3 linked regions of the Drosophila melanogaster genome follow. The protein of the gene in region 2 purifies or fractionates together with the protein of the main gene of each other region. This does not show direct contact. Each region holds a gene or a part of one and is shown on either strand. Other genes may lie near its edges. The genes, in order: sick, clu and tobi.

Region 1 (3,754 bases), on a different chromosome or scaffold from region 2:
TATTTATGCCCTGTAATTTAAAATTTCCATATGGAGTTTGGCCAAGAATTTACTGAATTATATGAATTTATACCTACCCTTTAAAATTCTCTCAATGTTTGTTAGAATTTTCGCCAAATATATTTGTTTTGATGCAATTTTCAAATGAAATCTAGTGGATAGAGTATCTAGAAGTCACACAAAAGGCGTACTTATGAGTTTTTTCTGGCAAACCTCAGCATACTTATACTTCTCTTCTTTGTTTGAATAACGTTTTGGGTTCTGGTTGGGCTTTTTGGTGCAATAAGAGCAACTGAAGGATGGAAAGAAAAGCGTGCACTTTTCAAAAGTGGGCTTTTGTGTGGAAAGCGAGTCGAGGGGCTGGGATTCTGGTCAACTCACTAGCAAATCAAAAGCATTTCTAACCAACTTGCCAGCGAAGTTTGCACAGCGTGTTGGGCGCAGAAAGCGGCGCTAAAAGAACTCAGATTGAGTGCAAATAAAATGATGTCATGAAGTGGGTGGGCGGGCTAAAAGGCACGGAATGCATGCTCCACTTTATTTCAGCTATCAACTCGTAAAGTTTGCGGCTTGATGGCCTCCGGCAAAACGTCGGGTTTTCCCAGTGGGTGGAAATCTGTTCTTTTTTTCAGAGCTGCAGAGCTGAAAGAGACCACGGCAAAACTGCAATTACAAGTTGGAAGAGGAGGACTCAACTCAATGCGCAAATCTTGACAAGTATTTTGTCAACTTTGACTGCTGCCAGCTGGAAGCAAAGGCAGATGAAGTGCGAGCAACTTCAACCTCAAAGCAAAAGTGTTTAACTTTAAGTCCTGCCTTCTGCCTTTCTCTTCGGGGTCCTTTCATTTTTTTCCTTTTTGCCCCCATTTCGTCCCCATTTCACGGAATCGTCATGGAAACTGAAAGTGTCAGGGATTAGGTGATGCTGGAGTAGAGAGCCACTATCCACGTGGCTTTCAGGGGGATTTTAAGCCCAGGGGAATGGACGCAGACAAGGATTGTGTGGCCTTATAGGAGTTAAACATTTAATACGTGTACTGCCCAGTTATAAAAGTATAGATTCAACTGATTAGAGCACATTTGTAGAATAGATTTTAACATTTCTGCTTCTTTAACTACAATCGTAATGGTGATGTAAAGAAAAACTGTGTTGTTCCTAGAAGATGGATTACCAATTGCATTTAATCTGGGAAGTAAGTCAAACTGGAATTTTATATTATTTGCATTTATCACCATTTCATTAGCATACTTTGCTAATCTGGATAAATCAACCTTGGGCTTGAGTGCTGCCCAACAGCCCTCCCCTTTTCAGCTGCCTACTTTGACACTAATTAACTTGATTCAGTATTCGAGACTACTGCCATTGCCTACTGCCATCTGCAATTCAATTAAAAATTAACATTTTAATTGCAAATTACTTTCAGTATACTTTATGGGACGCAGGCACAGACACCGGCAGAGAAACTCCACTTAACTGGAGTAACTTCTTTCGCCTCTGCCACCTGCAGCCTGCCATTTCCGGAAACGGAAGTAGCAGGATGAAGAGGAAGAAGAAGAGGAGCCATTGGAACATCGGCTCATTGCGAGGCGTTTAATTCTATCATGCGCCAACAATTATGCAACTTGTTGGTTCACTGACTCAAATGGCCAGGCGGTTTTCAATTTGTTGCCAATAAAACTTTTTCCATTTCGGTTTCCTCTCAGTTGTTGCCACGTTGGCCTGGCGAAAAATGTTCGTCATAGTTTTGTTTTGTGAGTGGGCTGAAATAAAGGAAATTAAAAGTTCATTGCTGGTTTTCCGAGTGGAAACAATGCTGGGATAATCTCGATTTGGCGAACATGCTGTTCTTTGGCATTGTTCATTATTTGTTATATCTATTTGGATTACTCACATTTACTCTACGAATCTCAGCAAGTGTAATGGAAAAGATACCTGTACGTGAGTGATGAACCATTCCTTTGTTCACTTCGCTTTCCACTTAATAAATTCATGGATCCATTTGCTGTCAATTTGTTATTGATATCTCCGTTATGTCTGCATTTTTGCGACCGGGGGGAAACTGAAGGAGAAATGAAACTTAATCAAATGTGAAACTCTAGCGAGCACTTGATATGCATTTTCGTATTGAATTTCCCTTCCAGCTTCTATCGCACAATCGCTTTTATTCGAAAATTGCACGAACAAAATAATACCTGTGCTGTTTGCCGGAAGCTGAAGAAAAATGTATGTGAATGCTTTTCGGTTTTTTCAATTTAAAGCATTTAAGTTGCAAATATATATGTATCCACCTCTGCGGCTTCAATGCACAAATTCAAGTTAAAACCGCATGTGCAGTACTTTAATTGTATTATTGTTCACCATTTATCGCAATCCCTGCAGCGTTGGCTTCCTGTTAATTGCTTTGTAGACAAATTATAAAAAGCTCGACTTTGGCATTGTTTCGGCGGCATTCTGGAACACTTCAAAAGCAGACGAAACCACGGCGTAACCATGACCATGACTATGACTCTTTGCCCGCAAAAACAACCTAGAAACGTATAACTCTTTTTTTTCCCCCGACCAGCTGGGTCAGTTTTAATTTAACTTTGACATGCATCAGCTAAAAAATCCAATTACAAACACAAATGTAAACAGAGATAGTAGAGAGAGAGAGAGAGAGGACATGGAAAAAGGACCTTATTTTTTTTGGTCGAAAGACTAGAAAACCCATTAACGCGTTTTTGCCCTCCATAAAGATGAAGATTTATAAAGCCATTAATTTGGCCCAAGCGGCGAAAAAATGTATACAAAATTTGTGAGTGAGTGTGTGAGTGAAAAGTGCTGAGCCCATGGAAGCTGCAGTGAAACCCTAGAAATGTCCAGTCAGGCAGGAAAACTGCGTCCGGGTTCCTCAACCAAGCCCGATCGCAATGCGAATGAGGAGAACCAACTGGGCGCCAAGCCCAAGAGCCAAAGAACGGACAATCATCATCAGAATCAACCGAAGATGTTGCCACATCCCAACTACATGGAACTGGAGTTCCTTGCCACGGATCCCACGGCATCGGCGCAGAGTACGGCCTATCCGGACTTACCAGTTAGCTATGCCACCTGTTTGGTGGGTCCACCACCGTACAGGGATCCGCTGCCTCCCACACCACCGCCCCTCTCCCAAATGCCATCGAGGCTGCTCCACTCGGCCCCCAATACGCCCAGTCGTGGCAAGGTGGTGCTCAGCAAGAAGGAGCGCAAGGAGCTCAGCAAGCAGCTGGGAATCGACGAATCCTCGATCCTGAGCAGCAGTGCCCAGTCGAGTCCCTACAAAGGACGTGTGAGTGAGCTGAAGAACTGCATAGCTCGTGGCCTGTTTGCCACCCTTCATAGGGGCTCACAGAAGTCGCTGCAGCAGCAGGAGGAAAGGCCCATCAGTCAGGAGATATCCCCGCCTCCTCCAGCTCCAGAATCAGCCAATAATAATGAAGATGTGGCGGATTACTCCGAAAAGCTAAGGAATCTACCAGTGAGACAGCGCAAGGCTGCCACCTCGCACATGGAGAACTACTGTCTCTTTGATCCCGTGGACTTTATCAACGAGAAAGCCATGAGATATCCCAGTACTCAAGCCCACGGATTGAGGGATCCCCTTTTCAGCTCAAGACAGCACTTGGTCTGCGAGGATGAAGATGAACTGGTGCCAGAAGTAATATACGATAACGAGGAGCTCGAGTTGGAGGAGACTATTATCATAGAGACTTCAGCTATGCCAGAAGCGGA
Region 2 (3,754 bases):
AAATTTTGAAAGCATTTATTATACTCAAAAATGCAACATTTGATGCACCTTATAAATGTAAGACAACAAAAAACAAAATGCGCACTAAAGCCACGACAACTCAATGCATAATTCGCAAAACGCTTTCTTCTCAACCAAGCTGCTTTAGAAAGATGGCCTCAGATGAAAACCCCTAGATACTGGCGATGTATAGAAATCGCTTAATATATATATATTACAAAAGTACTATAAATAAAACCGCACTGTGTTTTATTACTCTAAACGGTTTATTGATAGGAATAGAACAGGAGGTACTAAGGCACAGGCTTGTCTTGTTCTTGATCCACATTTTGGGATTCCTTTGTAGCTTCGGTGCTATCTAATTCCACTGCATTTGTGTCCTCTGCGCTTTTCGCTTCTGTATTTGAATTCACTGCCTCTTCATTCGAAGTTTCTTGGGTGTTATTGTCGTCGGATTCCTTGGATGCCACCTGTTGTCCTTCCTCAGGGCTACTTTCTGCCTTTTCTTCTGTGGGCTCTTCCTCGGAATCTGTGTTACTATCCTCTGAGGCTTCCTTAGCCAGTGGCTTCTTGTCCTCTCTCGGCTTTTTCGCCCTCTGTTTTCTCTTCAACCGTTTGGCTCGTTTCTTAGCAGTCTTTTCTTCGGCCGCGCGTCTGTTGTCGTCCAACTTCTGCTGGTAAGCTTCATCTGCTGCTTCGCGGGCACTCTGGTTCTGGATGTTCTTCTGGCGGGCGTACTCCTTGCGTCGCAAGTGGCGGTACACATGGAACTCGCCGGAACCCGCTCCAGCACTGCTTCCCATCACATTCCGCACGAACGTGGGCACCGAGGACATGAAGTCCCGTTCGCGACGCTGCTCCGGTATGACCACGGGCTTATCCTGGCAATAAAAGGTTTATTAATATGAATGTCCACCCAGCTTTCCAATGCAAACACATACCGGATTCTTCATGAGCTTCTCCAGCTTCAGCCTCTGTAGATCTGTCGCGGTTTTGATGAACGGCCGCAGAGGCTTGTCCTTCTCATCGGAATCGCTTTCTCCAGATCCCGCATTCTTTTTCTTTTTCTTTGCCTTCTGTTCGGGCTCTTTTACCAAATTCTTTATAAGCGACATGTTTGTTTGGTTAAAAACAGTATTTTATGTGTGGCTGTATTACAAGTCGTAAAAAATACACACCGAATTAAAAAAAAAACTTAACGGGGACTATGCTTGATCTGTAAAATTGTATGCGTCAAATTAGAGTCGATAAGTTAGCGGCGATGGCGGAACGGTGGAATTTCAGGAAAATTTCAATTTTTGAGATAATTTCATAACAGTAGGTCCAGCTATGAACCAACCCATCCTTAAAACAGGCCCTTTACATTAATTAATTTTTAAAAATTGTTGAATAGAAATTCACCTTCAAATAAAATAAAAAAAACCTACCCATGTTACAAATTTCACTGTTCCTCAACGACGCTAATATGACGCACTTTATAAAAAGGCTTAAAAATTTGTTTTAAATAAAAATAAGTTTGTATTGTGCATAAATTACCTTTTATTAAACAGAACACAATTGTTGTTAAAATAAATGCAATCATATATATTGGTATCGTTTTTGCGTGTGCATCCCTATCACTAGTTGTTGTCCATCTGCAATTATACACAGCAAATAACTAAATACTAATTAAAATACTGCAACCAAGCCAATGCCAGCGGTATATTTAAATGTTCACCCGGTGGTCACACTCTCAGCCGTTAACAACATAACGCGTTATTTTCTAGCGAATCGGCCGATTTATATCCTCGATAAGTAATGTGCTGAAAAGAACAGAACTAGCAAAGACCCACTTGTCATAGATGCGTACGAGATCGTTAACCAAACAACAATCACGTTCGCAATCGACCAGAAAGACACTGAAAATCGAACCGAAATCACCCCGAGCTCGGCGAGCGGTTAGAGTTGTGTAACACGGACGGACGGGCCCAAAAAAAAAAGAAACGTGAACTAGAACTCTGTGTCTCCTCCGCTGGTTTTGTTGAGTTTTTGGCGAGCAGGTGAAACAAAAGCATGGCGCTTGAAACGGAGGCGAAGAATTCAAATGCAACGGCCACGGGCGATGCAACAGCAACAGCAACAAAGGCCAGCGGCAAGGCCAAGGAGAACAACAACACGGCCGGCGGCAAAAAGAACCTGAATCCGAATTCGAATCAGCAGAATTCGAATCAGAACTTGGTCAATGGCAATGGCACGGCTGCCGACGGGCCGGCTGCGAAGAAGAAAGGTGCGTTTAACTTTCCGCCTACGCCCATGTTCAACCAACCAATCAACCACCCACCCACCCACACACCAACCCATCACCACCTCCTCTTAGCTTTGCTGCCTTGGAAACTGCCTCAATATATTATTTGCCACAAAAGCCAATCACATAACATTTTTAACATTACGTAATGGGCTTTTTCTTCCCTATAATGCCTTAAAAGCGGCGCCCGTTGTCTATGGCTGCCCCTCCACCCCCTTTTACGAGCCTTCCCTCTCCCCCTCTCTCCATAAACCGCGTGGGTTACAATTGCAATCGTAAATGTGTGTGTGTGTATTATTGGAGTTAAGTGCGTGTGTGAGAACTGCAAGTGTGAGGCTCCCTATCTCTCTCGCTCTTTCTCTTCCTCTTGGCATGGCAACGCACATGTTATTAACCCGGCAACGGCGACGAAATGTTCATTAACCCCCCGGGCGGATTTCTTGTTGCGTTTAACCTACAATTAACACGTGCGCGGCCCGAAATGCATGCACTTAACACACGCAAATTGTTCGACAATTATGTAAATCATGTTTTCTATCCGTAGACGCATCGCTCTACACTTTGTCTCCTTCTCTCCGAATTCCTTGCGGTTAATGAACATTGTACTTATCACTTTTGCTTTCTCCTCTCCCCACTCTCTTTGCCTCTCTCATTCTCTCTCCCTAGCTCTATCTCTATGTATCTCACAGTGCTGTAATTTAGTATACGGCTGTTGAAATTAGCATGGTCGTGTTAAACCCATTCCGTTTTCCTGAGAGATCGAAAGGAGATTGGATTATTCGGTGGACTGTTCGTTCGTACGGACTCCGAACGAACCCGGCCCCTTTGGCCTTATCAGCTCGCTTTTCTCTTTCTGTTTGTTTTTCTACTGTTTTGTTGTAAATGTATGTACATATGCCTTTATATGTATATGCAAGCACACAGCTTGCCGGCGAACACAGACAAACTGAGCGACAAAAGTGTGCGGACAGTATTGTTATGTAAAAATCGGAGCCTGGAGGTAGAGACACCTCTTTTTAAATTATTATATATTGCCAGACAATTTTAGAAAAGAAACGTGTAACGTATTTGCATTACCTTTAATTCTGTCACCATTTTTCAAATAATATCAAGGTTTAATTATTAAACTAGATATAAACCACTATTTATAAATTAAGAATGGTAAACATTAAATTCTAACATAAACTTGGCAGCATTGCTTGGAAATTTAAATTCCTAAGAATAATCTTTTGTTTTTAAAAACATACTAATGAACCATAATAAATAAATAACGGATTTATACAAGATTCTTCTGAGAGACATGGAAACAAAAGTCGGTCCAAAGTTCACGTTTCTCCCTATACATCGAATAGGTTACACAATGCTCCATATGCCTTTCCCAATATTGACTAACAACAAATTACTTCTTCATCGCCCCATGTAGGCAAGAAGAACCGCAACAAAAGCCCAACTGAACCCACAACCGAAGCC
Region 3 (3,754 bases), on a different chromosome or scaffold from region 2:
TTCCGCTCTACTCCAGTGTGAATCCCACGCGCAAAAAGTAGGGTAGGGTATCCAAGGGAGCGGCGTAGTCCATCACCCAGGTGGGTCCAGTGTACACCTGGTCGCTGTTTCCATCCTGCCACTCGCCCTCTGGCAGGTAAATGTCTCGCTTGGTGGCGCCCTCGACCACAACGGGAGCAGCGATGATGTCTTCGCCCAAAAGGAACTCTGCGAGATATAAACCAGTTATAGCTGCTAAAATTTTAAGTTAAGTGACAGGATTACCATCATAGATAGACTGCGCCACCTCATCAGTCGGGGCGATCCACCAGAGGGGAACATTCACAGGTTCACCAGAATCCACAGCGCGCTTAAAGAGCTTCATAATGTAAGGTGTATAGGTGGCATGGAGGGCGGTGAAGTTCTTGCTGATCGCAATGGCCTCGTCGTCAAAGTTCCAGGGAACGAAGGAGAACTGCAGGGCGGGCATAAAGACGTTGGCCTGCAGCCAACGGAGGAAAAGCTCCTTGGTTGGTGGCTTTTCGTAGTAGCCATTACCACCAATCATATCGGGAAGGACGAAAGGATAACCGTTGAGGTTCATTTGCAGCATCGAAGAGATCAGTGTGAGCAGGCCGTTGTTCCATCCCCATTCGGAGTCCTTGTCCACGATGCGCACGAAGATTGGCTGATCTTGAGTGTTCTGGGCTGATCGAACCTCCACCATGTCTCCGAATGCCGCTACAGTACGCACGTAGTCGCCCACCGCCTGCAGTGGTGTCACCATGGAACTGCTAGCCTGGAGTACAGGATCACTGGGTAGCCAACTGGTCTCTCCGGCATCAAACTTGAAGCTATCAATGCCATCCTCATCCTGAAGGCGCTTTAAACGCTTGCTGAACCACTCCTGAACCTCAGTTTTGGTAAAGTCCAAAATGGCTGCATCCTTGGGCTTGCTGTTCCACCATTGCGTGTCGGAGCTTCCCTCGTGATCGAGCACCAGGTAACCCTTAGACTTAGCTTCATCGTAAATGGCTGTGCAGTTGTTGTTAATGAATGGATGAATCCACAGGGTCACACGGAAACCCAAGGCCTTGAGGTCATCAGTCAGGGTCTTGCTATCGGGGAACTTGTTCTTCCTGAAGGTCATGGCTCCATAGCAATCCTCCCAATCATCGTCGATTTCCAGCTGGCTGTTGTTGAACCCATTATCCAGAATCTGCTTGGCGAAGTCACGAACCACATCGTCGGATACCTCAGCCTTGTAGAGAGCCCATGTGGACCACACAGGATGCATGACCATTCGCTCATCGGGATAGCCTGTGGGTTGGCCGAGGAACGTTTTAACGGCATACCGGTGCGCCGCCTTGGCATCCTTGGCCACAGCTACGTGGTAAACGAATTTGGCAGAGGTCACCCGAGGATCATAGGGTAGAGCACTAATAGCACTCAGACACAGCTGGTCAGGATAGGCAGCACTATTCTGATCAATAAACAGAGGAGTGTTGCTCTCCACGTACAAAAAGACTCCGTCGCCGTTCAACCAATATCGCTCACCCACACCAAAGTTATCCAGCTCCTTTGGCAGGTAGGAATAGTTACTATGCCTCTGTCGCTCCACTGGCCAGTAGTGTTGCTTCTGCTCCGGACCACTGAACCAGTGCGTCGATCCGGTCTTCAGGGGGACGCAATCCCTGGGTTGGGTGCCTTGCAGCACCTGATCTCGGGATACTTTCACATGGGTTATCTCACTGCCTGTGCCGGCAACCACTCCGCTTTTGACCAGGGTGAACTCCACGGTGGATTGGCCATCGGTAAGCTGGTAGCTACCACTGCTCGTCTCCACCAGATTGGCGCTGCTGTCAAAGTTGTCGAAGGTCACCGTCTGCAGGGACTTCTCGCCCTTCATTAGCTCATACTGCAACTTATCACCTCTCCTAAGTCGCACGTAGACATTGCTATTGGGAAACTTGTAGCGCTGCTCGATGCTGGCACAAGTGTGAACCGCCTCCCAGAGGCAGAAGGATGCCAACAGCAGGGATAGTAAAATAAACCTCATTTTCGTGCCTTTCTCACAACACGACTGCCGGTCATGCACGGGCTGATCTACCTAATATAGTCGCGATAAGAAAATCGATGCGACTTCGTTGGGGCTTCGGTCAGCGTATTATACAAATAAAACTCTTGAGCGATGTCAACACAATTCTCACCTGGGGAGAACACTTCAGACAGCTCCGTGATAACCTGTCTGATAAGCGGGGTCCCACCTGAATTTCTTTATTTTCCATTAGCTAATTGATTGTTGTTACCGCTGAGATTGCAGTTCACCTACATACACAGTCATCAATAAAAAAATATAAGCCTATCTCAACAAGTGACTTCTTAAAGTCAAGGACGGCTTCAGAAGCAATCTGAAAAATCCTAATATCAAATGCAACAGTTTCTTATCAGTACATGAACATTTTGAGCATTTCCTCAAGTGTTATATCGCTAAATCGATGAATTATACCTCTTCAAGTAGTTTCAAGCAGTAGCAGCTAAGTTAAAATCATTTTATTAAGGCATAAATATTACAAATAATTAGTTTTGATTTTTTTTCTTTTACATTTAATACTTTAATCTATTTTGGCTTGAAATAAAGGAGCTGTAATGCCGTCGAATGTAACAAAATATAGACCAAAAATGCGTTTGTCGGTCGCTTAACATATAGATATATTTCTGGTGGTTATGAGGATGGCTAAATGCATGACCTAACTAATAACTTGTTTTGATTATTTAGGGTACCAAGTGGCTGATCTCATCTTCCTCGAATATCTTTTCGCTGGGCGCTTCATCGCGATATATATTAACACCACTCTTTCTCGCTGGGAAGTGGGCCGTAAACAGTTCATCCTCGTCAGAGTCACTTTCGTCACCCGGAACTAGGGAAACTCGGGAGTATAGTTCGTTGGATCGAGCCATTGCCCTTCGATGATACACGATGCCACCGGCCACTGCTACGCCCATCAGGGTGAAAATCACCGAAACCAAAAGGAGCACAGTTGTGCCAGTCATATATTGCTGGGTATCTCTATCGTCCATTTTGGATATGTCCACCACACTGGCCATTCCCGTGCTACGCACCACATAGGCATAGCAGAAGGTCTCGTTCAGGATCTTACGCAGTTGGCTGCCCGGGGAGCAGGTGCTGCACTGGGAGGCCAGGGCACCGTAGCACTCCAAGCAGCTCCGATCGCAGGCGGCACAGACCCGAGAAGGCACCTCCACCAGTTGGGTGAGTGAACTACGACGACGTCGATCCTCCGCCTGCAGAGGATCTTGCTTGTCATCCAAGCTGTTGGACATCAACAGGGAATGATCCATGGGGGAGCTGCTGTAGGGATTAACCGGACCCCTTGTCACCTCGTCATCCTGCTCATCCTCCTCTGCTTGGAACTTGTCCAATGGATATGTGTGCACCGGGCAGACATCGTAGCACTGGTCCTCGAACATATAGGCGGAGTCATTGCACTCTGTTGAAATTTAGAGAAGGTTGATGTTAAATATTTACTTTTGATCCAAAGTGGCAAGGAAGTGATTTACCTCAGCGACAGATTTTGCGAAAAGGAATGTTTGGAAAATAGTTGGTTAGAAAGTTGTTACAAAAGCTTAGTGAAACTCAAAACGAAATAAAATTGAGCAATGTTTGTGCGTGTTGAGATTGGAATAAAACGCAATGAAAACACACAAGCGATTAAATGGGTATTCTGTTTTATAATTATTGGCTATTTTTGAA

The links.
Region 1: the proteins of clu (region 2) and sick purify together in Drosophila melanogaster (affinity purification with mass spectrometry, with the first as the bait; one large-scale study listed by BioGRID). This does not show direct contact.
Region 3: the proteins of clu (region 2) and tobi purify together in Drosophila melanogaster (affinity purification with mass spectrometry, with the first as the bait; one large-scale study listed by BioGRID). This does not show direct contact.

What each region holds. Positions count from the first base shown.
Region 1 is NT_033779.5:19,824,419-19,828,172, forward strand, and holds the start of sick (sickie), read left to right. Parts: upstream 1-2,055; 5' UTR 2,056-2,855; coding exon 2,856-3,754.
Region 2 is NT_033778.4:16,184,871-16,188,624, forward strand, and holds the start of clu (clueless), read left to right. Parts: upstream 1-1,713; 5' UTR 1,714-2,052; coding exon 2,053-2,266; intron 2,267-3,018; exon of another isoform or gene 3,019-3,284; intron 3,285-3,707; coding exon 3,708-3,754. Other genes in the region: CG8441 (uncharacterized protein), read right to left, coding at 294-881, 942-1,115. UniProt on the Drosophila melanogaster protein: mRNA-binding protein involved in proper cytoplasmic distribution of mitochondria.
Region 3 is NT_033777.3:25,344,849-25,348,602, forward strand, and holds the start of tobi (target of brain insulin), read right to left. Parts: upstream 2,074-3,754; 5' UTR 2,039-2,073; coding exon 265-2,038; intron 208-264; coding exon 8-207; 3' UTR 1-7. Other genes in the region: Fur1 (furin 1), read right to left, coding at 2,755-3,491.